Linked DNA regions of Rattus norvegicus. The protein of the gene in region 2 interacts with the protein of the main gene of each other region in a biochemical or structural test. Links are inferred from orthologs where the notes say so. Each region holds a gene or a part of one and is shown on either strand. Other genes may lie near its edges. The genes, in order: Bmp7, Bmpr1b, Gdf5 and Bmp2.

Region 1 (5,618 bases), on a different chromosome or scaffold from region 2:
GGGAACCTGCTGGCTGGGCTCTTCTTGATAACCTTTTCAGGAAAGTCCTTCCTTCTGAAGCTGTCTGTCCCGCTTGTCATTTCATCTGTGAAGCCCAGTCTCTCTGGGGACTGCAGTGACCCAGGGTGCTGTTTTACGGACAGAGACTACAGTGGTTCTCCTGTCATGGCCGCCCATGGGTCACATGTCCCTCCCCTACCCAAGCCCAGCAAGGCGTCCGATCTCTGCCTTCTTGGCTGCCTCCTCCACCTGAGCTCTGATGCTTCTCAGAGAGAAGAAACGGGAAAGACTGCCATGCTTCTGTCCCAGACCTCCTTGATGTTTCCGGGGGCCTGAGAACCAGCTAGTCATGGAGGTCGCCACACTGGCTTGATCACTCTGATGTCCTCCTGCCTGGCCTATGTGTGGCACTCCTGCTGGCCACAGAAGGCCACACACAGCCTTCCGAAGTAAGGGCAGGGCCCCTTTGTTTATTCAATATTAAGAACTGTAACTTGGTCACTGGAGGTCATGTCTCCAGCTCACAGCCTGAGTGGCCTCAGCTCACAAGCCACAGCAGGTCCAGGGAGGGGCCTCTCAGAGCTGTGCTGGCAGGGGACACAGTACTGTTGGTGTCCACAGCCTGGACTATGACCTGCAGGTCTCTTTTGGGGCCATCCCTGCGGCCCCTCAGGCAGCCACATGGTCTAAAATCCTCCCAAGGAGCCCAGAGAGCCCTAGGGTAGCTATCTCTGTTTCCAGAAGCCCGGAAGACCAGGCTGTCCCATTTCACCCTAGGACTTCAAGATGGAGCCCTCTACTCAAGGTCCTTCCCAAGCCCCTCTTGCCACTCTTTAATTCAGACTCCCATGGATATTCTTGGAGCCCGCCTTCAGCAGAGCAGGGAGGCCTGGCTTACCACCCCACAGCTCACTGCCATTCTGAGTGAATGCTGTTTTGCTCCCATTTTTCAGAAATGGAAACCGAGGCTCTAAAGAGCAGCTATCCACTGAGAGCTCCAGCATCTGTCTGGGTCCTTTCTTTCTGTGAAGAGAGGGAGGCTAGTCCTTTGCGACAGGAAAATTCAGTGTGGGTGTGTGGGGGGGGGGTTGTCCTGAACTTGGGTACAATGCCCAACTCCCTACTCCTCAGGCCCTACCTGGGGCTGGGGGTAGGGTTGTTAGACAGTAAGGCTTTGGCCCCTTGTGCCAGGATAAGGGGTGGGTGGACCCCCCCAAGAGGAGGGGGTGGGAGCACTCTCTAGTCCCAGATTTCACTTATGAACTCTGCAGAGCTGCAACATCTGGGGATCCGCAGTTCAAAAATACTAGGGGAAAAAAAAGCCTCGAAGTACCTGTACCGGATCCCTTGGGTGCTGAACCTGAGGAGGAGGAGGGAGGAGGATGAGGGAAGAGGAGTAGGGGTAGGTGGAGGAGGAGGAGGACGACGATGACAGTGTGTGTGTGTGTGTGTGTGTGTGTGTGTGTGTGTGTGTGTGTGTGTGTTTGTGTGTGTTGGGGAGTGAAGTGCAGAAAATAAAAGTAACGTCTGTAGGAGGAAACAACTTTATCTCCACTTTATCTTCGGTCCTGGAAGGTTACCAGAGGAAGTGGCACCCGAGGGGGAGGGGCAGGGAGAGAACTTTCCCTGAGGAGCAAAAGCCAGGGCAGCCGAAGCTGGCAGGCGGTGGGAGTACGGGCGGGGGTGGGCGGGTGTTTCTGCTTGACTGGAGCAAATGAAGTGTTCGGGAGGTTCGAAAGATGAGCCTTGTCCAAGAGTGGCCACCTCCGAGGAGCCTTCTCGGATTCCTGCGCTCCCTCCGGGATGCTTTCCTAGCACAGCCTATAGTTGCTACACTTTGGCCACTTCCAAGTGCGAGTCTCTAGAGGGCTGCAGCCTCGGATTCCTCTCTCTGCGCCCCTGAGGCGTCCGTCCCAGTGCCGGACACCCGGTGGGCACTCGGTAAATATTTGTAGAGCGCCCTGGGAGGAATGAATGAAGCCATTGGGCCAGGCTTGGGGAGGGCGGGGACAGGCGCAGGTGGGAGGCCGCGGGAGCGGGAGGGGCGGGGAAGTCGGTCCTCCTGCTCCTCCCCCCACTCCTCGGCCCCAGCGCGCCCCATTCCGGGGCTCCCGAGGCGGCTGGCGGGCGATCTGGGGCGCGCAGGACTGGAGAAGCGACCTGGGGTCCTTGTTTGGGGCGCGGGAGATCGGAAGGGTTTTTTTTTCCCGCTGGTGCCCGCGGGCCCGAGCGCGAGCAGAGTGGGAGGAGGGAGCGAGGGTTCGCCCAGCGCCCTGCTGCCTCCCCGGCACTCGCTCTCCGGACTTGAAGGTCTGCAAACTGCTGCTCCTCCCACCCCGGCCCGCCTCCTCGCTCTCTTGCTCTCTCTCTGGAGTTGCTGTGCTAGCCTTGCGGTGCGTCCTGGCGAGTGCGGGCCGAGGGGCCCCGGGCCAGAACTGAGTAGAGGACTGGGGCGTCTCGGGCAGAGCGCAGCGGGCCAGGGAGTGGCCATGAGTGGCGAGGCCACGGTGAAGCTCGTCTGCAGCAAGTGACCTCGGGTCGTGGACCGCTGCCCTGCCCCCTCCGCTGCCACCTGGGGCGGCGCGGGCCCGGTGCCCCGGATCGCGCGTAGAGCCGGCGCGATGCACGTGCGCTCGCTGCGCGCTGCGGCGCCACACAGCTTCGTGGCGCTCTGGGCGCCTCTGTTCTTGCTGCGCTCTGCCTTGGCCGACTTCAGCCTGGACAACGAGGTGCACTCCAGTTTCATCCACCGGCGCCTCCGCAGTCAGGAGCGGCGGGAGATGCAGCGGGAAATCCTGTCCATCTTGGGCTTGCCCCATCGTCCGCGCCCGCACCTCCAGGGAAAACATAATTCGGCGCCCATGTTCATGTTGGACCTGTACAACGCCATGGCGGTGGAGGAGAGTGGGCCGGACGGACAGGGCTTCTCCTACCCCTACAAGGCCGTCTTCAGTACCCAGGGTCCCCCTTTGGCCAGCCTGCAGGACAGCCACTTCCTCACCGACGCCGACATGGTCATGAGCTTCGTCAACCTAGGTGAGTGGCGGTAGGAGGTGATATATCTCAGACCAGGGCTACTTTGGGACAGGGAGAGGGTGCCTGCTTTCAACCACTGTGGTCCACCTTCCCATTTGCAAAGCATCAGTGCCGGCCAGAGACTCTTGCCCCCGGGTCTTGGTAAACTTTAAGCTCTGTGAGTCTTTGAGTCTTGCCGGCTCGGAGGGTTTGTGGGGGGTACCGAGAGGGAAGGACCTGCCCTGAGTCTCTTTGCCTGCTCCGCCGCGCGTTCATCTCACTCAGGGGCGGGAGGTCCCGGCCCGGCAGCGGCTTAGTTCAAAGCGCCCGGCTGGGTCATGTGAGCTGAACCGGCTTCAGCGGCCCGCGCTACCTGGATTTAAAGGGCCCTTGAGAGTAAAGCTGCCTTCCCGCCTTTCCTCCGCCCCTTTGAGCCCAGCTTGGCTCTGGCATCTCGCACATCCCCTTTCCTTGCCCTCTCTGGCCAGCCCTACCTGTCCCTTTGCGGTGCGCCTTCTCGGCGCGCGCTCGGAGTGTCGCGGGGCTCCTCTCCTAGCCGCCAGTCGCCCACCTTTGGACTCTCGGCTGGAGCCGGGGAAAGAACGTTGCCATTGCGAGTTTTCTATTTTAAATATTTAATGATAGGTCCCGGGCGGGCAGAATCCATTTTCAGCGTTTATCACGTGTGGCGCGCAAACCACGGGTTTTGGCGATTGGGTGGCTGGGGACCTCGGAACAGAGGCCGCCATGGAATGGCTGGGGAAACCGTTTCCATACTGTAGTTCCAGCCAACCAAGGGATGCGAGGCTGGGTTACGGCTGGTCTGAGACAGCTCCCCCTGCATCTGTGCGCGCACAAGTATCTAACTTGCTCAAACTAACCCCCAACCGTGCGCTGTGGGGCTGGCCATCAAATATTTGGCTTTGGTGATAACACACCCTGATAGTGCTGTTTCCTGAGTCACTTTTCTTCTGCTTGTGGAAGTTGCTGAGAAAACCCCAAGTCAAGACACCAAACACACCATGGGCGCCCGTCAACCTGGAAATAATGAAGCTTAAGGCCACCCCCCCCCCCTTTTCTCTCTCACTGGGCACCTGGGGCTCTGAAGGGATCTCCGGGAAGAAAGGGTCCACGTTAATCCTCTCAGCTCCAGATAAAGGCCTTGGAGCTTCTGGGAGACCATTGTCTGTTTCCATTTAAGATCAAAAAGTGTCAAATAATGAATCAAGCAAGGGTCAGGGTGTAAAGGCCTGTGATAGAGCTGACAAAATATTACAGAGCAAATTCAAATTCTCCTCAGACACTTGTTAAGAAGAGGTCCTGCTTTGGGATAGCCTCCAAACCCTGAAGGTAGGAAAGGCCAATTGCAAAGAGATTTTTCCTGGGGGTAGGGCTTGGTGTGCTGGGAGAGGGAGGCCGCCTTTCACTGCGTCCATTTTTTTAAAAAAAATGTGGATTTATTACCAAAAACTAAAGTCGACTCCTCAATAGAGACTTAGCAGTATGTGGTCAACGTGGATCTGCGAACCTATCCTGAAGGCAGGCATAACAAGGCCCTGGGTGAGGGTCAGGGCTTATGGCCTCTTCTGTTCTCCGGTGTGATCTCCAGGAAGCCAGTGAGTGGGTCCTAGCTGACAGTTCAGAGCTGGTCCATCGAGCTGCAACAGATAATCCCAGACTTTGGTGCCAGTCTCTGTGTTTCAGGTCTGGCCGTGTGGCCCCAGCTGGCTTCCCTCATCCCAAAGGGCCAGGTGGCTTCCAGGGCAGCTCCCAGGGCCCTGCTGGGAACCTGGCAGGGGCGGTTGCTCCCCACCCCCAAGCCCCGGCCTCCCTCGGGTACAAGCTGGGGCTTGCTGGGGAGGCCACAGCTGGGTGGCTTCCTCTGGCTGCACACACACCTTTCTTTCAGTCCGTTCTTTCTTTCATGTTGACAGGACAAAGCCTGGCTTGTCTGAGCCTCTTAATCAGTGGGGCTGGCCGTGGGCTTTTGTGGGACTGTCCTTTCTCAGGCATGGCTTTCTGGACCATCACTCCTAATTAGATAGCAGGGTGGCTTTTAACAGGACCCAGGGATAGGGTCTTGTTTTCTCTCTCTCCTTCTCTCGCTAAGCTAGAGGTAATTAGGGGAAGCCCCAGACTGTAGCTGCTAAGAGCTTCCTGTAGGTGCATCTTTAATCTCTGCTGGGCCACAGCACAGGCATAGGCCTCCTGCTCCTGCTGCTATGACCTGGGGATGGCAGCTGGGTTGAAGAAGGGTGTAGCGACCCCCAGAGACTCATCCCCACACTGAGGCTGCTGAGAAAGCGTAGTCTGGTCAGAAATAGACAAGTTTTAGAATGCCAGGTTCACGCTTACCCTTTGCTCCCCGAATGAGAAAAGGTCCTGGTTCCTGTCAAACCACCCCTTGTCACCCTTAGAGCATTTGGTGTTGGTGCCAGAGACCGGACCCCCTGGCTGCCTTCCACACACACCTCTGCCCACACACCTCCGCCATTCTCCCTCAGGCCTGCCTGCTTGGGGGACCCCCTGCCTCAACCCTGAAGGCTTTTGCAGATCCACTGCCTCTCTCCTCCTGTCTGCAGCCAAACTGGTTTTTGTTCTTG
Region 2 (4,946 bases):
TTTGGTTTCCAGCTCACAATTGCCTGTAACTGTAGCTGCAGGCAATCTCATGCCCTCTTCTGGCATCTCTGGGTACCTGAGCTCATAGATATGTGCAGGCACACATGCACACACAAAGTGCACGATTCAAATAAAAACATTTTTAAGGTTTGAAATTTAAATATAATTATTTTCTTTTTTTCTTTTTTCCCAAACCATTTTCGTGAACAATGTGCTCTTTCTCAAATCCATAACCTCCATTTTTCAAAGTATTGTTTTACAAACACACACACACACACACACACACACACACACACACACAAAACCTGCTAAGGCTGAATAGAGTTACTTGTACATATATGATTTTAGGTGTGTCCATGATGAAAGTTGGAAATAGTCTTTCTCAATTGGTTATCAAATTATATATTATATATACATAATACATTACGTATATATAATTGTGTAAGTATGTATGTACACACATGAATATAAATATAATATAAGCATGTCTTATGTACTGAATGTATATTTTCTCAAACTGCAAATCTATTTATTGTAAGAATTTAAATGTGAACCCCAAGCAAGTGGGAAAGGCTGATGCCAGGCTGGATAAAGTGAGTGGGACAGACCTGGACTTTAGACTTGTTTTCTGCTCCAGTGTCTCTCCATCCACCTTCCTGCATTCACTTGCCCACAACTGAGCCTCTGGCATGTTGGGAAGTTCAAGAAGAGTTTGGAGCACATTCTGGGCCCACCAAAGTCAGGTGCATAGAACGCTGTTCATAAAGTAAGATGCCCATGGAAATTCAATTAACTGGCTCATTGGCCTGGAGTATTGTCCAATCTGTTTAGTATGTGCTTTTCAAGAAGCTCTGGAGTTCTATTCTTCTGGGGGTAGACAGTGGGTATTGGTATCACTTGAAAGCTCTTCAATGATGATTTTTAATGAAGGGAAATCGTGCCTTGCAGCAAGAACGATTGATAGACCACAGGCAAATCCAGGAGAAAGTTTTAGCAAACCTATCCACAGGTCATTAATCTTGTTAAGTGGTGTAGCATCGTGCTACTGTTAGAGCAGACTTGCGTGATTTAGAATTACCAGTGTTTCTTTGAGCAGTGCAGAATTAGTTAAAATGTTGAAATACATTATGTGTTGTAAACAATCTAGGGAGTAGAATTCAGACTCTCTGAGCATCCCGTTTGCTTGATCCTGTCTTTAAAGTCATCCTTCTCTCTCCTCAAGGCCTCGTGTTTTCTCTTGTCACGAGGGAAATATGAGAGTCTGGGTGAGTCATAAACAGTTCACATGAAAAAGTTTGAGTGAAATTTGGTGTTCATACTTTACTGGTGCCTTAAAAATAGCTTCAGACCTCATGAACACCAACTGAAAGCCAAATTCTGAGTTCTGTATAAAGAGCACATTTCTCTGACTTCTCTCCAACGTCCCTTTCTCTTTCAGTGCCTCAGGCAAATGGGGAAGCTTATGACAGAGTGCTGGGCGCATAATCCTGCCTCCAGGCTGACGGCCCTGAGAGTTAAGAAAACACTTGCCAAAATGTCAGAGTCCCAGGACATTAAACTCTGACGTCAGGTACTTGTGGACAGAGCAAGGAATTACACAGAAGCATCCTTAGCCCAAGCCTTGAACGTTGATCTACTGCCCAGTGAGTTCAGACTTTCCTCTAAGAGAGCAAGCTGGACAGACACAGAGGAACCCAGAAACACGGATTCACCATGGCTTTCTGAGGAGGGGAAACCATTTGGGTAACTTGTTCAAGATATGATGCATGTTGCTTTCTAAGAAAGCCCTGTATTTTGGGATTACCATTTTTTTTAAAGAAGAAAGATACTTTAATTTTTACCAAAATAAAACAAATATTGTAGATGTTTTGAGGTTTATACAGTCATAGTTTAAATAATAACAAAAGTTCTTCCTAGAAACGTTCCTGGAAGTCAAAATGTTTTTTCCATTGGCAAATTACTCTTGCACTCTAGAAAACAGAGCAGACTGTGAACATAAATTAGAATTCAACTTACCTGCTTCCCTGCTCCAGGCACCTCAGACTGTTTGGGCCAGCCCTGCTATGAGCTGCCAGTGCAGTGTGAATGCACATGCATACAAGTCCCAAATGCCTGGGACCACAGTTTGAAATCCTCTTGCAGCTTCAGCCAGAGTGGAACAAATGAAGGGTTTATGTCACTGATAGGATTATGTGTGGGTGGCTTCTTCAGAACCACTCCTGCTTCTGGGTGTGTTAGGCAGCTCTTTTAGGCAATTCCAGCCCCTCCCCCCCAACCCCTGCTTTCATTAAACACCAGCAAAGCCTTCTCATGAGCGGAGAATCAATCGACACGGGCATGCTTTTGTTCTTGTAAATCAGAAGATCAATATTAAATAAAACTGTCGCGAGTGTGGTAGAAAGAGGGAGGGAGGGAGAGAGAGAGAGAGAGAGAGAGAGAGAGAGAGAGAGAGAGAGAGAGACAGACAGACAGACAGACAGACAGACAGACAAGGGACTCTTAAATGGAAGTGATTGGAGCTTGTGTCATAAGAAAGACATACCAGTGAGGCAGAGCCGAGGCTGAAGGTGCAGCAGATGTAGATGGCTTGTTTCCTCCCTGTGCCTAAACCCATCACAGCACCCCAGGAGAGAAGTATGGATGCCACAGCTTGTGTACATATGTATAGTTTCATATTGCTGTGTTTTCTAAGTCTCCAACTTCAGAGACAGAGAGGAAGTTTCTGTTGGGTTAACGTCACTAGCCTTTACTTTAAAAATAAGCAGAGGAAAGTGAATGGGGGACATCCAACATCATGGCTGTTGTGATTTCTACTAGAACAGATATGAGTCCAGTATGGACCTCTTACCTGGTATTTCACACCTTAGGTAGGACTCATTTACTCTTGTATGCATTTCACTACTAACTTACAGTGTTTCTGTACAAAACATCTTGTGATTCGGTCCTGTGAGGTCTTAACCCTTGACTCTCTGTGCAAAATCACTGATACGACCATTATTCCATAGAAACAGAACTGCAACAAAGTGTAATGACACACGGCCCTCCTCTCAACTTTATTCATGTAGTCCCTTACTGTGTTTCTTCCATAATGATTAGAAACTGCCTACTGGTTGTTAAGAAAGTGGAAGAACTTGCTGTGCCTTAGAGAACGGCAATTCCTTCCAGAATCCTCCAGGGGTCACTGTTGTCCTATGCATCTCACCGCTGGGTGCTTGAAAGCATGGAGACCTTAGGAAAAATTGACAGCTGCAGGAGAAATGAGCAAATGTTTGACTCTTTTTCTCGAGTAGATGTTCAGCCGGTGGGCTGTTCATCTGGAAAAAAAAAATCCTGAGCTCAATATTTTTGAGCTGTACCTGGAGTTTAGGAGAAGTGTAAAGAGAAGCGCTCCTCTGCGTTGTAATTCACTGTGCGGTGCTGCAGGGCCACTAAGATAGGTTTTCTCAGTTCTTGAATTTGAAAAGATAAAAACAACTGGTTGTTAATTTAACAGTCATCACATTTTGGTCTTACTGAGTCCAGGGCAAGCTAAGCCACGGGAGAGCCTTTTCTCTGTTAAATTATATTTGCCACAGACAGATTTTCCATATATTTCTACCTAACACGTGCCAGTCATCTGAGCCTGGGAGGAAAACATTATCGCCTCTAGACAGATCTGTCTACCGACACCTATGTAAGCATTTTGCCAGTTAAGTGGGTACGCTTTGGTTTTCGTTATCTTAGGTTTGAGTGAGGTTGTGGGGAACCTCTTAGCTCAGACTGTGTTTTCCTATTGGTAGATTTTTTTTCTTTTTTAATTGTGGGCAACTTTAAATCAGAATGTTTTGGATGAGGCTGTTGATGATGTAAAGTGTTCTAGATTTCCAGGGTTCCTGTGAAGAACGGGGGGGGGATTTAAGTGTCCAAATTCCATCTATATGTTTCGTTTTACTGCTTTGGGGGAAAAAAAATCAGCCGTTTATTTGCTAACTATCAACCTTATTTATTCAGTATGAAAATCTTGAAATTATGGAGATCCTTTAAAAGATCCACTCAGTTATTATGAATTTTCAGTAAGAATTTATAATTTATTTATGAATATAATTTCTGTCTTAGTAGAGCCTAATTGAGACAACTAAGTTGTTGTTAAGGACTACCTGTTATCTTCGCGGTAATCCATGATAACATTTAAACTTCTAGCATCTCAGAAAATATGCATTTATTTTATCCTTTGCTTCAACTTCCTGCACGTTAATAATATAACTGACTGCTGCTGACCCTCAGGACTCTTTCAAAGAGCAAGATTTCCTTCTAACTCCTCTCCCCCAAAGGAATCCTAAATTATTAATTGTTAGATGAACTTTGCGTATCCAAGTTTATGGTTGATGTGCGTGTGTGTATATATTATATAAATATAGAGATGTATATGTAAATAAATATGTTCATTCTGGAGTCTGGCACAACCCTAGTATGTGGATTAGAAAGTAAAATATTATGGATGATAAAGTCCTAGATGAAACCTAATATTTATTTATGGAAGCATGAACATTGTTAACTCACAGATGAAGAGCAGTAAACAATATGTCTGACTCAGACAGAGCACCGTGACGTCACTACTGCCTGTTCTTTATATTCCCCCAGTGGGAAGCTTCTTGGGGGGACATGCCGGGTTTTACTTCCATTGGTACTTAGTAATGACCAGGTTTCTTGTTCCTCCTCGGGCCACCCTCATTCATCAGGGGCTTTCTGTTTTCTGTCTGTTGTCACTCTTCTTGGTTTGTGGGTTGAAAGGTAGTGAGAATACATTTTTTTTTAAGCTTGAACATGTTTTCCATCTAAGAAAACCCCAGTCTCATAAAGAACACAAGAAGGGGGCTGCATCAAAAGTGATACAATTGAACAGTTTGAACTAATTGTTATAGAAACTAATGCCATAGAAACATATTAACAGAAAAATTGGTAATATT
Region 3 (5,683 bases), on a different chromosome or scaffold from region 2:
TGGGCTCTGTGCCAAGCCCTGGGAATAATTGAAAGACAGATATGGTACAGTGTAGTTATAATCTAATGGGATAGACAGATATGTACATAAATTATGATAGGCATAAGGAATTCAGTTATAATAAAACTTTGAGAAAAAAAAAGCACACAGACTTTAAAAACTGACCTGCATTGGAAGTAGGGGCAGAGACTGAGGCTGGATGGATTTGAACTCTGAGAGCAGAAAGAAGCACAGAAAGTGTGCAGTGGCTGTTTGGAAGCTTCATGACTTCTCTGAGGTGTAAGGGCTACCTTTGTGCGGTCGCTAGTACATGGGTCAGCTCTTGTCCGTTGGGTAGGCTTCAGTTAGAAGGAGGGTTGAGGTTCGGTCCCCAGCTCCGAAAAAAAGAACCAAAAAAAAAAAAAAAGAAGGAGGGTTGAGATGGGAAGGTCCTGGAAGGCAGTAATGAGGGAATTGTAGTAGATTAAAGGGCCAGGAGGGTAGGGCAGTGACGGAGACCTCAGGAAAAAGATGCCAGAGAGGACTGTGAAAGTCAGTCACAAGCGAAGACCAGAGTGATGACCTGGATGACCAGAGGGACTGTAATAAGTTCAAACTGTCCTCAGAACTCCTTAAAGAGGGTGGGTGGCGCCTTGGTCTGAAGTGAGCTCCTCTTCAGACTTAGGAGCTATCAGTGAAGACTTGAATGGAGCTAGGAGCAAAATTATGAGGGGTGGGGGTTGGGGTGGGGGAGAAGAGTACTTGCTGCTCTTAGGAAAGACAGAATTCTGCTCCTAGCACCACATCAGGATGTCTCACAGCTGCCTGCAACTCCAGCCCCAGGGGACATGACATGATGCCCCTTTCTGGTCTCCTCTGGCACCCTCTTTCCATACATACAAATAAACAAAACAAATACGAGAGAGAGAGAGAGAGAGAGAGAGAGAGAGAGAGAGAGAGAGAGAGCGCCTAGATCTGCAGAGTGAGGACTTTGTTTGGTGTTGTCTTGGTGAGGACTTTGTGCACGCTAACCCTGCACTGGACTACTGAGTGACATGCCTAGCCTCCAGCAGAGAGTCTCTAGAAACCGACTTAGCATATGAATGAATCTGTTAGGTCAGCTCTAAGAGCAGAGGATTAATAAGGAAAGCTAGACTAGGTGGTGCAGTTCTATAATCCTACTCTGTAGCCAAGCAGGTGGAGGTAGAAGATCAGGAGTTCAAGGCCAGCCTTGTATATATAGTGAATCTGAGGCCATCGTGAGTTACCTGAGACATTATCTAAAGAAGAAAAGGAAGAGAGGGAGAGGGGACTCTCTTCAGTTAAGCAGGTATTCAATTCTTCACCAGCTCCTAGAAAAACAACCCCCGGAGAACTTGTTTTTCCAACTTCCTGCAGGGGTCGCTGCTGCCTTAGGCTGGGGCTGCCACCTCGGGCCTCAGCCAATTTCTAAGAAAACTGGCGGTCTTTGCTTGGGTAGTGGCTGAGGTACGCACACCCTGGACCTGTTTCCAGCCAAGGGGGCTACAGGATGGCAGTGCTCAGCCAATGGCATTTGGTGGGGGTGGTATAGTGGGCAATGACTTTTTTTTTCCTGTTTTTTGGGTCACAAGTTTATCAAAATAAAAGAAAGTGTGGGTAAACGCTGCCATCTGTGCTGTCCTCAACACACGCACACACATGTGCACACACACATATATACACACACACACACCCTACACACCACACTCCACACCACACACACACACACACCCCACACACACCCCACACTCTACACCACACACACACACACACACACACACACACACACACCCGAGGTCCCAGATGAGACAGAGAGATTGAAATTGCTTTACAGACACTCCAAGGACTTCACTGAAAACCTACCTCGCATGTTTAGTCCCTGCAGGTCTCTGCACTCGCTCTTCAATCTCTCCACTCAGGATGGTGGGGTGAGCTGCTCCAGGAGGTGGAGGTGAAGACCCCTGAGTCTACTCTGGGATGGGGAGGCCCCCTAAGCCTGAGTCCTGCTATGGGGCTCTGAGCCAAGAGCCCCCATGAGCCATGGCCTCCAAAGGGCAGCGGTGATTTTTTTCACATAAATATATCGCACTTAAATGAATTTAGACAGCATGACATCAGAGAGTAATTAAATTGGTTTGGGTTGGAATTCCGTTTCCAATTCCTGAGTTCAGGTTTGTAAAAGATTTTTCTGAGCACCTGCAGGTTTGTGTGTGTGTGTGTGTGTGTGTGTGTGTGTGTGTGTGTAAGTATTTTCACTGGAAAGGATTCAAAATTAGAGGGAAAAAAAACTGGAGCGCACAGGCAGCATTACGCCATTCTTCCTTCTTGGAAAAATCCCTCAGCCTTATACAAGCCTCCTTCAAGCCCTCAGTCAGTTGTGCGGGAGAAAGGGGGCGGTCGGCTTTCTCCTTTCAAGAACGAGTTATTTTCAGCTGCTGACTGGAGACGGTGCACGTCTGGACACGGGAGCATTTCCACTATGGGACTGGATACAGACACACGCCCGGCGGACTTCAAGACGCTCACTCTGAGGAGAAAGCCCTGCCTGCCGCTGCTGCTACTGCTGCCACCGCTGCCTCTGAAGACCCACTCCTTTCATGGTTTTTCCTGCCAAGCCAGAGACACCTTCGCTGCTGCTGCTGCCTTTCTCTGTGGTGTCATTCAGCGGCTGGCCAGAGGATGAGACTCCCCAAACTCCTCACTTTGTTGCTTTGGCACCTGGCGTGGCTGGACCTGGGACTCGTCTGCACTGTGTTGGGTGCCCCTGACTTAGGCCAGAGACCCCCAGGGGCCAGGCCAGGGTTGGCCAAGGCGGAGGCCAAGGAGAGGCCACCTCTGACTCGGAATATCTTTAGGCCAGGGGGTCACAGCTATGGTGTGGGGGCCACCAGTGCCAGGGCAAAGGGAAGCTCTGGGCAGACACAGGCCAAGAAGGATGAACCCAGAAAGGTGCCCCCCAGAGCCAGTGGCTCTGAAACCAAGCCAGGACCCTCTCCCCAGACTAGGCAGGCTGCAGCCCGGACTGTAACCCCAAAAGGACAGCTTTCTGGGGGCAAAGCATCTGCAAAAGCAGGATCTGCCCCCAGCTCCTTCTTGCTGAAGAAGACCAGAGAGCCTGGGACCCCTCGAGAGCCTAAGGAGCCATTCCGCCCGCCCCCCATCACACCCCACGAATATATGCTCTCGCTGTACAGGACGCTGTCCGATGCTGACAGAAAGGGAGGCAACAGCAGCGTGAAGCTGGAGGCTGGCCTGGCCAACACCATCACCAGCTTTATTGACAAAGGGCAAGGTGAGGGGGTGGGGTGGCAGGGAGGGGCATTTGCACAGACCTAGAAGTTCCAAAGTCTTGGAGTATGCAGGTGGGGGACAGTGTGTGTACCCAGCCTAGGGTGGGAATCTGGAACTTATCGTACCTAGGGACCTTGGAGTTCAACTTCTGCAAGGTGCAGAATGGACTCTAAAATGCAGAGAGGAGCTAAGATCTGCTACTTGGACACTAGACTCCAAGACCCATTCTTGATTACTGAGAGGTACTCTGTACCCCCGTGGGTTGGTAAAGTCTCTAAGCTTCGGTTTTTCTCAGAGAGCAGAGAGAAGGAAACTTTAGGTCCCCATGGTTCTTCAACTTTACCCTCAGATAGGGGTAGAGGGAGCAGGCTATGTGAGGACAGAAAACTTGTCATCTTGGAGTCACAGAGAGAGGCAGCTGGCTGAGGGCACACGGAGTCCCTTCTTCCCTGGGGTCTCTTCTTATAGGTATACTACACGGGCATTGGACGGGGTGACAGCTGAGCATTCTGAGTGGGAATCAGTAACCTGGGAGAGTACTTGTCTTTCTTGCGTCGCCGGAGGTCTGCCCACCTAGTGTTTCAGGCTCTTCCTCTCAACTTGCTGTGTGTTCTCAGCAAATCTCTTCCCTTCTGAGTCTCAGGTTCTCCACAGTGTGGAGATAGTTGGGCCGGTGGCTGGCAGTTGGTGAGGTTTCTTGCGGGTTCACAGGCTCTGGTGCTGAGTCTCGGGACTTTGGCTGGCAGGGTGGGGGAGGGGCCAGAGAGTGGGAGAGGCTTCTCATTAGAGTTGGTCTGTAGGGGAATGACAAGGGGGTGGGGGAGGTACAGAGGCAGCAGGTCTGGCAGAGGTGGGGGAGGTGGCCTGGCTGCCTGCCCAGCCAGGGAAAGCTGTGACCCCTCGAGGGCTCATAAAATAAGTCCTTGTGTCCCCCCCCAGCACTAAGGGAGAGAGGGGAGGGGGAGATGGGGAGTTTAAAGGCCTAATTAGTTACCTTCTAGAGCAATATTTGAATGTTCCCTAATGGCATATTGGCATTTAGGAAGGAGGGCATGCTGATTCAGAGATTACACACACACACACACACACACACACACACACACACACACACACATACACCCTTATATTTTATACACTCAGTAAATGAATCATATACATACACACATACATATATAGCATCATTTTCAAGTATTCATACAATCCCAACTCTACTTACATATGCCAGTAGCATATATATATATATACACATATATATATATCCATCCTTATACTTACTCATGAACCCAATTGCACACACACACACACACACACACACACACACACACACCCACACCTGGAACACTCATATACCAAAAAAATCATGAAATTGGGAACTTGGGAAGTTGAGTTTGCAGATCGGCTTTGTTACTGATTTGCTGTGTTACCCACGTCAGTTTCCTCCCCAACTCTGTGTCTTGCCCATAGCAAGAACGCTAACATCATTAAGGTATGAGAAGCTCAGAATGGACTATTCAAATTCTAGGCTACAGTTTTACTTCTCTATTTTTCCCCTAGCTAGATGACATTGAATAAGCCCCTAATTTACTCTGCGCTTCAGTTTTCTCCTCTGGAAAAGTGGGTAAGACAGGTACACACCTCCTGTCTTATTTACAGGAGATAATCATGCTGGATCATGGATGGGGCGGACACTGGTAGAAGACAGTTATAAGGCCAATGACTCTAATACACATGGGCACAAACATCAGGGGCACTCAGATAATACGCAGCCTCATACCTACCTTCATTGGGAAAAGGGCTCTTGGTGGTTTGTGTGTTGGCTTCAGCCATAGTGGGGAAGAGGTTAGAGAAACCTCTTTTGATTGGGAGAGAGCTAGGTCCTCTCTGGAGACCCAGAGGTGGCGGGCTCTCTTGGTGAAGTGACAGAATTGACTTCTGACTGTTTTCTCTAGATGACCGAGGCCCTGTGGTCAGGAAGCAGAGGTACGTGTTTGACATCAGTGCCTTGGAGAAGGATGGGCTGTTGGGGGCTGAACTGCGGATCTTACGGAAGAAGCCCTTGGACGTGGCCAAGCCAGCGGTCCCCAGTAGCGGGCGGGTTGCCCAGCTGAAGCTGTCCAGCTGCCCCAGCGGCCGGCAGCCGGCAGCCTTGCTGGATGTGCGCTCCGTGCCAGGCCTGGATGGATCTGGCTGGGAGGTGTTCGACATCTGGAAACTCTTCCGAAATTTTAAGAACTCAGCGCAGCTGTGCCTGGAGCTGGAGGCCTGGGAACGGGGCCGGGCCGTGGACCTCCGTGGCCTGGGCTTTGAACGTGCTGCCCGACAGGTCCACGAGAAAGCCCTGTTCCTGGTGTTTGGGCGTACTAAGAAACGGGACCTGTTCTTTAATGAGATT
Region 4 (5,686 bases), on a different chromosome or scaffold from region 2:
GAAACAGCCAGGGCCTAATTTCCCTCTGTGGGTTGCTAATCTGATTTAGGTGAGCAGAACCTAGAGTTATTTTAGCTTCCCAACTGAAAAGCTAATACACACGGATAATAGATTATTAAAGCCCCTCCTTCTGGTTTTTCTCTGTCTTTGCTTTGCAAACTTGAAAGATCTGATTCAGAACCTGGTATTACCAATCTGGTCTTCCACAGAAATGTTCTGCCCATAGCTTTGGGGGTCATGTGGGCAACAAGGTGGTAGTATGTATGAAGGCTCCTGAAATGAGGGAGAAGTGGAAAGAGTTCAAAACGAATCCTGGATCAGCAGCTTTGGGGACATTCCAGCTGAGGAAGAAAAGTGGCTTAGCCACAGTCAGAGTCTTGCTTCTGGAGACCTAGTGGAGAGGGCCAGACAGAAAATTCAAAAGTCTCAAACCAGAAATGTCTTGTTACCTGCCTCTGGTGTAGGTGGGTGGGGGAGGGGAGATAAATAGCCCAAGTATGGAAGTGATTGTTTCTATAAAGAGAACTTCTATTAACTCCCATTGTCCCCTCACATGGACAGACAGACAGACACACACACACACACACACACACACAAACACTAGAGGGGACATCCACTTTACATGTGTATATCTATGTACAGAACCTGTACCCTCATTTTTATAATTTACATAAATGAATACATATATGTATATACATCTTTTATTAGATTCATTTATTTGACTATATATGCACATGGGCGCATATAAATGTATGAATATTTATAAAATGTAATAATACACTCGAATGTGTATTGGCTATTTCTTGACATTTTCTTCTCACCATTCAAAACAGAGAAGCGTTTGCTCACATCTTTGCCAACATGTCTGATAACTTCTAGGTTCTTCTTTTTAATGTGATCTTACCTAAAAACTTCAAACTCAAGTTGAATATTGGCCCAGTGGGGGAACTCAGAGGCAAGCCTACCCTGAATTTGCCCTAAACTCGGGCATCTGGGGCACGAATCCTGGTCCCGGGGGTCTGCTTTACACTCAGCCGGGACGCGACCCCTTAGCGGCCGCGCGCTCGCCCCGCCCCGCCCCGCCGCGGCCGCCCCTCAGGGCGCGCCGTCCACACCCCTGCGCGCTGCTCCCGCCCGCCCGGGGATCCCCAGCGCGCTGCGCCTCCGAGGGGGAGGTGTTCGGCCACGGCCGGGAGGGAGCCGGCAGGCGGCGTCTCCTTTAAAAGCCGCGAGCGCCGCGCCACGGCGCCTCCGTCGTCGCCGCCGGAGTCCTCGCCCTGCCGCGCAGAGCCCGGCTCGCACTGCGCCCGCCGCTGCGCTTCCCACAGCCCGCCCGGGATTGGCAGCTCGGGACGAAGCCTCCCTAGCCCACACCGGCCATCGGACGCCCTCAGGGCGAGCGACGCGAGGGTCACCCGGGGCTTCGAGGGGCCGGCACGACACCGGTTGGAGCTGCGAACTGTGCGCGCCCGGCTCTGTGGCCTCAGCTGTCCGGGAGAAGCCAGAGTCGCGGACCGACGCTAAGAGCCGGGAGTCCGGAGCACAGTCTTACCCTCAACGCTGGGCTACTCCGACACGAGAGTGAGCGCCCGAGGCGAGCAGGAAGAGTGATCGGACCCCAGGCTGCCACAAAAGACACTTGGCCCGAGGGCTCGGAGCGTGAGGTCACCCGGTTTGGCAGCCGGGGACGCGCGGCTGGACTGTCTCGAGAATGAGCCCCAGGACGCCGGGACGCCGCAGCCGTGCGGGTTCCGCTGGCGAGCGCTGATGGGGGTGCGCCAGAGTCAGGCTGAGGGATGCGGAGTGGCGGCCCGCCCGCCACCCAGATCTTCGCTGCGCCCTTGCCGGGACCCGGCGTCGCCCACGATGGCTGCCCCGAGCCATGGGTCGCGGCCCAGCTAACGCAGAACGTCCGACCCTCGCCCGGCGAGTCCCGGAGCCGGCCCCGCGCCCCGCCAGCGCTGGTCCCTGAGGAAGACGACAGCAGCAGCCTTGCCTCAGCCTTCCCTCCCCGTCCCTGCCCCGCACTCCTCCCCCTGCTTGAGGCTGTGTGTCAGCACTTGGCTGGAGACTTCTTGAACTTGTCGGGAGAGTGACTTGGGCTCCCCACTTCGCGCCGGTGTCCTCGCCCGGCGGATCCAGTCTTGCCGCCGCCTCCAGCCCGGTCACCTCTCTGTTCCTTGGCCGGCTGGGCCCACCCCAAGACACGGTTCCCTTCGGGGAGAACACCCGGAGAAGGAGGAGGTGAAGAAAGGCAACAGAAGCCCAGTCGCTGCTCCAGGTCCCTCGGACAGAGCTTTTTCCATGTGGAGACTCTCTCAATGGACGTGCCCCCTAGTGCTTCTTAGACGGACTGCGGTCTCCTAAAGGTAGAGGACACGGGCCCGGACCCAGGGCTGGCGGGTGACACCGCTTCCCGCCCGGCGGCGCTGGGCGCCTCGGAGGACCGGTGGAGTGGACGTAAACATACCCTCTCCCGGTGCACGTGCAGCGAGCGGATCCCTAGAGGGGTCAGGCACTCTGAACCCCAGATCCCTCTGTCTTGCCCACCTGGTCTGCGACCTCCTTTCAGCCCGTTCCTCCTCCCCAGTTTTAAATACATTATCAGGGCTGTTTTGGGCTTTACCCCCTCCTCCGCCCCCAAATTGCAGAAATCCATTTAGAGAGTATGGCCGGTGGATTTCACTAGTTCATTGCCCACCAGCACTCCAAGCCTTAGAGATCCTTCGCTATCCTTAAGAACTAGGTCCCATTTAGGAAGCTACTAAAAGTCGGGGTTCTTTTTGTGTGTGTTTACTGACTGTGCGGATGTGTCACAGCTTACACGTGCATTTATAGACACTATCTATTTAGGTCATTGCAGAAAGGTGCATGGATTTCTTGACTGCACAGGGGTCTGGAGAAGGGGACAGAGTGGCCTGTGGGTCAACCTTGAAGTTAGGGGCGTAGGCCACGACTTGCAAGTGGCGTCATTAGTATTAATCTTTAGTTTACCGCTTTCTGAATCTACAATCTACCAGGAAGTTCTATACGGCGCCTCTAAGGAAGTCACTTGTGCATTTGTGTCTGTTTATGTGCAAATGAACGCTGTGCAGTATAGTTGTAAGGGATGCAGTGTCCGAACAATCTATGGGTTCCCAGCTTCCTGACACAGGCTTTACTAGCTAGTGTCACAAGAAAAGGTGACAGACAGTCATTGATTTTTCTTTTTTAAATTGGGAGTTAAGACCAAGCCCCAAGTGAGAAGTCCGGCTGGGACTTAGGGGTTCTTCATCCTCTTGATCATCCAGGCTGTAGCTTGGATGACATGCCAGGAGGGCATCCTGGAGAAGGCCAGCGAGCCCTGTGGGAGCCGGGGCCGCGGGGGCGGGCGGAGGACTGGGCGGGGAACGTGGGTGACTCACGTCGGCCCTGTCCGCAGGTCGACCATGGTGGCCGGGACCCGCTGTCTTCTAGTGTTGCTGCTTCCCCAGGTCCTCCTGGGCGGCGCGGCCGGCCTCATTCCGGAGCTGGGCCGCAAGAAGTTCGCCGGGGCATCCGGCCGCCCCTTGTCCCGGCCTTCGGACGACGTCCTCAGCGAGTTTGAGTTGAGGCTGCTCAGCATGTTTGGCCTGAAGCAGAGACCCACCCCCAGCAAGGACGTCGTGGTGCCCCCCTATATGCTCGACCTGTACCGCCGGCACTCGGGCCAGCCAGGAGCGCCCGCCCCAGACCACCGGCTGGAGAGGGCAGCCAGCCGCGCCAACACCGTGCGCAGCTTCCATCACGAAGGTGAGCGGGCGGCGGGTGGCGGGGCGGGGACAGCGGGCGGAGACTCAGTGGGCAGCCCGGGCCTCCGCTAGCACAGTGGACGGTCCTTCGGCTTCTGTACCGTCCCCTCTGTGGCCCCGAGCCAGGGATTCCCCACTGGTGAGTCCGCACCCTTTTCCTGGCAGGTGGCCAGCAGACAGACTCCTCCCCACTAGAACTGGAGGGAAATCGAGTGATGGGGAAGAGGGTGAGAGACTGGCTAGCCCCTTGTCAGCTCATTGTGGGAGAATTTCACAGAAGGCAGGGAGTTGGGGCTCCTTAAATCTGTGTGGAAGCTCAGATCTGTGGCTTGTGTTCAGGCTGGAGTTTTAAGCTAGGCAGAGGTAGTATTAACAAATCAAATCCAGGGCCCCAAAGCATTCAAATTTGCTGTTCATCTGGGCCTCGTTTGAAAGATTTTTGAATCCCTATCTAATCCCCGTGGGAGATCAATTCCACAATCCATCATACTGTTTCCCCAATGACCTTCCTTTCTCCTGCTTAACTCTTAAGTCTCCAAGTGGAGACAGGTCAAGCCTTCAGATAAAAGCATTTTCTCCCACTGCCTGCTACCTTCCTAGACAAGGTAATGGAATTTTTAAAAAAATACGATATGAGTATGGTTTCCCAAGGTAGAGTAATGTTTATTTCTTCGGAAGGAGATTTAGTGGGTAAGACATGCTGTAGAGGCCTATTGAAGTCTCTTGTGCCAATGTCCTTATAGCAGTTAGTAAAAATAATAATAATAATAATAATAATAATAATAATAATAATAATAATAATCGTGCCTCAGTTCAATTCCGTGTGTGTCACTTTAAATGTGCTTTTGGTTTAATGCAATCTCAATAGGATATCAGTTCCTTCAAGTTCTAGAAGAATTCAGAGTTGTCTGTCAGTGAGCTGCAATTTATAGAACAATGGGGAGCTAGGAGAGAAGTTCCCTTTTTAAAGCTTCGCTTTGCCTTTCTTGAGAGGATACATTTTAAGTAGAAATCTATGCTCTGAAATGGCAGCCCAACCCCCATCCCCAATAAGGGATGACTCAAACTTTGAGAAGTCTGGTTGATAATAGGAAAAAGAGCCACCGGCAGGTCACATAGCAAGGGGTGTATCTTCCTTGAGGCAGCCAATGGTTATGAAGGGCACTAGAAACTGGTGTCTAAGGTTTTCTGGGGACAACGTTCAGTATTGAAAGATAGTGAGACCTTATTCTGCTCCTTAGGGTCTGCTTGCTGAGAGAGGGAGATTCCAGAATGTACACCCCCAGCCCCCGTCCCCAGGGCTAAGCTAATCTTTCTGGGTTAATATTTATTGGAAAATGTTTTGTAGATCAAAACAAACAAACAAAACCACTAGCCAGCACAGCTGTTTTTCCCACTGCCTTTGGAGATAGAGCAGGAAAACAATTTATTCGTGTATTTGTTTATTTATTAGTATTTTCTAATGTGAAAAAAATTATTCTTTACCTGTAAAAAAAAATGAACGAGTTATTTTATCTTTATCTTAACTAAGCTAAAAGCATCATTTAAGTCAACTAAAACTCAAAAATCCAATTGAATGTAAGGTTTGTCAATAAAATCTACATATTCTCAGTCTTCATTTGGAAGTGGCTTGATAAAAACACAGGCAAAACGCTATCTAGGTGTCTTATTTTAAAACTTAGTGAGCTTCCGTTCACAAGAAAAATTGTATTTTTAAAAGTGGTTTTTCTGGTGTAAAACTGTATAGAAGTTATCGACCTGCTTAAAATAAACTTGCACTGACTTTATATCTTGGTGCAATCAGATGTGATTTTTACCATAAATCTCAGAAACCATTTCTTTTCAGTCATCATCAGGTATACACGGCATATGGGAAGACTGTTCACATTGTTAAGTAGCCTAGAGTTTAGTTTTTC

Evidence for each region.
Region 1: the proteins of Bmpr1b (region 2) and Bmp7 form a complex in vitro, tested with the Homo sapiens proteins (2 studies listed by BioGRID). The link is inferred for Rattus norvegicus from reciprocal best matches to the Homo sapiens genes BMPR1B and BMP7.
Region 3: the proteins of Bmpr1b (region 2) and Gdf5 interact in a biophysical measurement, tested with the Homo sapiens proteins (3 studies listed by BioGRID and IntAct, with this or other methods). The link is inferred for Rattus norvegicus from reciprocal best matches to the Homo sapiens genes BMPR1B and GDF5.
Region 4: the proteins of Bmpr1b (region 2) and Bmp2 form a complex in vitro, tested with the Homo sapiens proteins (3 studies listed by BioGRID and IntAct, with this or other methods). The link is inferred for Rattus norvegicus from reciprocal best matches to the Homo sapiens genes BMPR1B and BMP2.

Annotation. Positions count from the first base shown.
Region 1 is NC_086021.1:182,131,726-182,137,343, reverse strand, and holds the start of Bmp7 (bone morphogenetic protein 7 precursor), read left to right. Parts: upstream 1-2,197; 5' UTR 2,198-2,621; coding exon 2,622-3,036; intron 3,037-5,618. UniProt on the Homo sapiens protein: Growth factor of the TGF-beta superfamily that plays important role in various biological processes, including embryogenesis, hematopoiesis, neurogenesis and skeletal morphogenesis.
Region 2 is NC_086020.1:233,211,734-233,216,679, reverse strand, and holds part of Bmpr1b (bone morphogenetic protein receptor type-1B), read left to right. Parts: intron 1-1,438; coding exon 1,439-1,564; 3' UTR 1,565-4,946. UniProt on the Homo sapiens protein: On ligand binding, forms a receptor complex consisting of two type II and two type I transmembrane serine/threonine kinases.
Region 3 is NC_086021.1:164,915,352-164,921,034, reverse strand, and holds the start of Gdf5 (growth/differentiation factor 5 preproprotein), read left to right. Parts: upstream 1-2,441; 5' UTR 2,442-2,679; coding exon 2,680-3,292; intron 3,293-5,240; coding exon 5,241-5,683. UniProt on the Homo sapiens protein: Growth factor involved in bone and cartilage formation. During cartilage development regulates differentiation of chondrogenic tissue through two pathways.
Region 4 is NC_086021.1:141,263,399-141,269,084, forward strand, and holds the start of Bmp2 (bone morphogenetic protein 2 precursor), read left to right. Parts: upstream 1-2,125; 5' UTR 2,126-2,369; intron 2,370-3,421; 5' UTR 3,422-3,428; coding exon 3,429-3,771; intron 3,772-5,686. UniProt on the Homo sapiens protein: Growth factor of the TGF-beta superfamily that plays essential roles in many developmental processes, including cardiogenesis, neurogenesis, and osteogenesis. Induces cartilage and bone formation.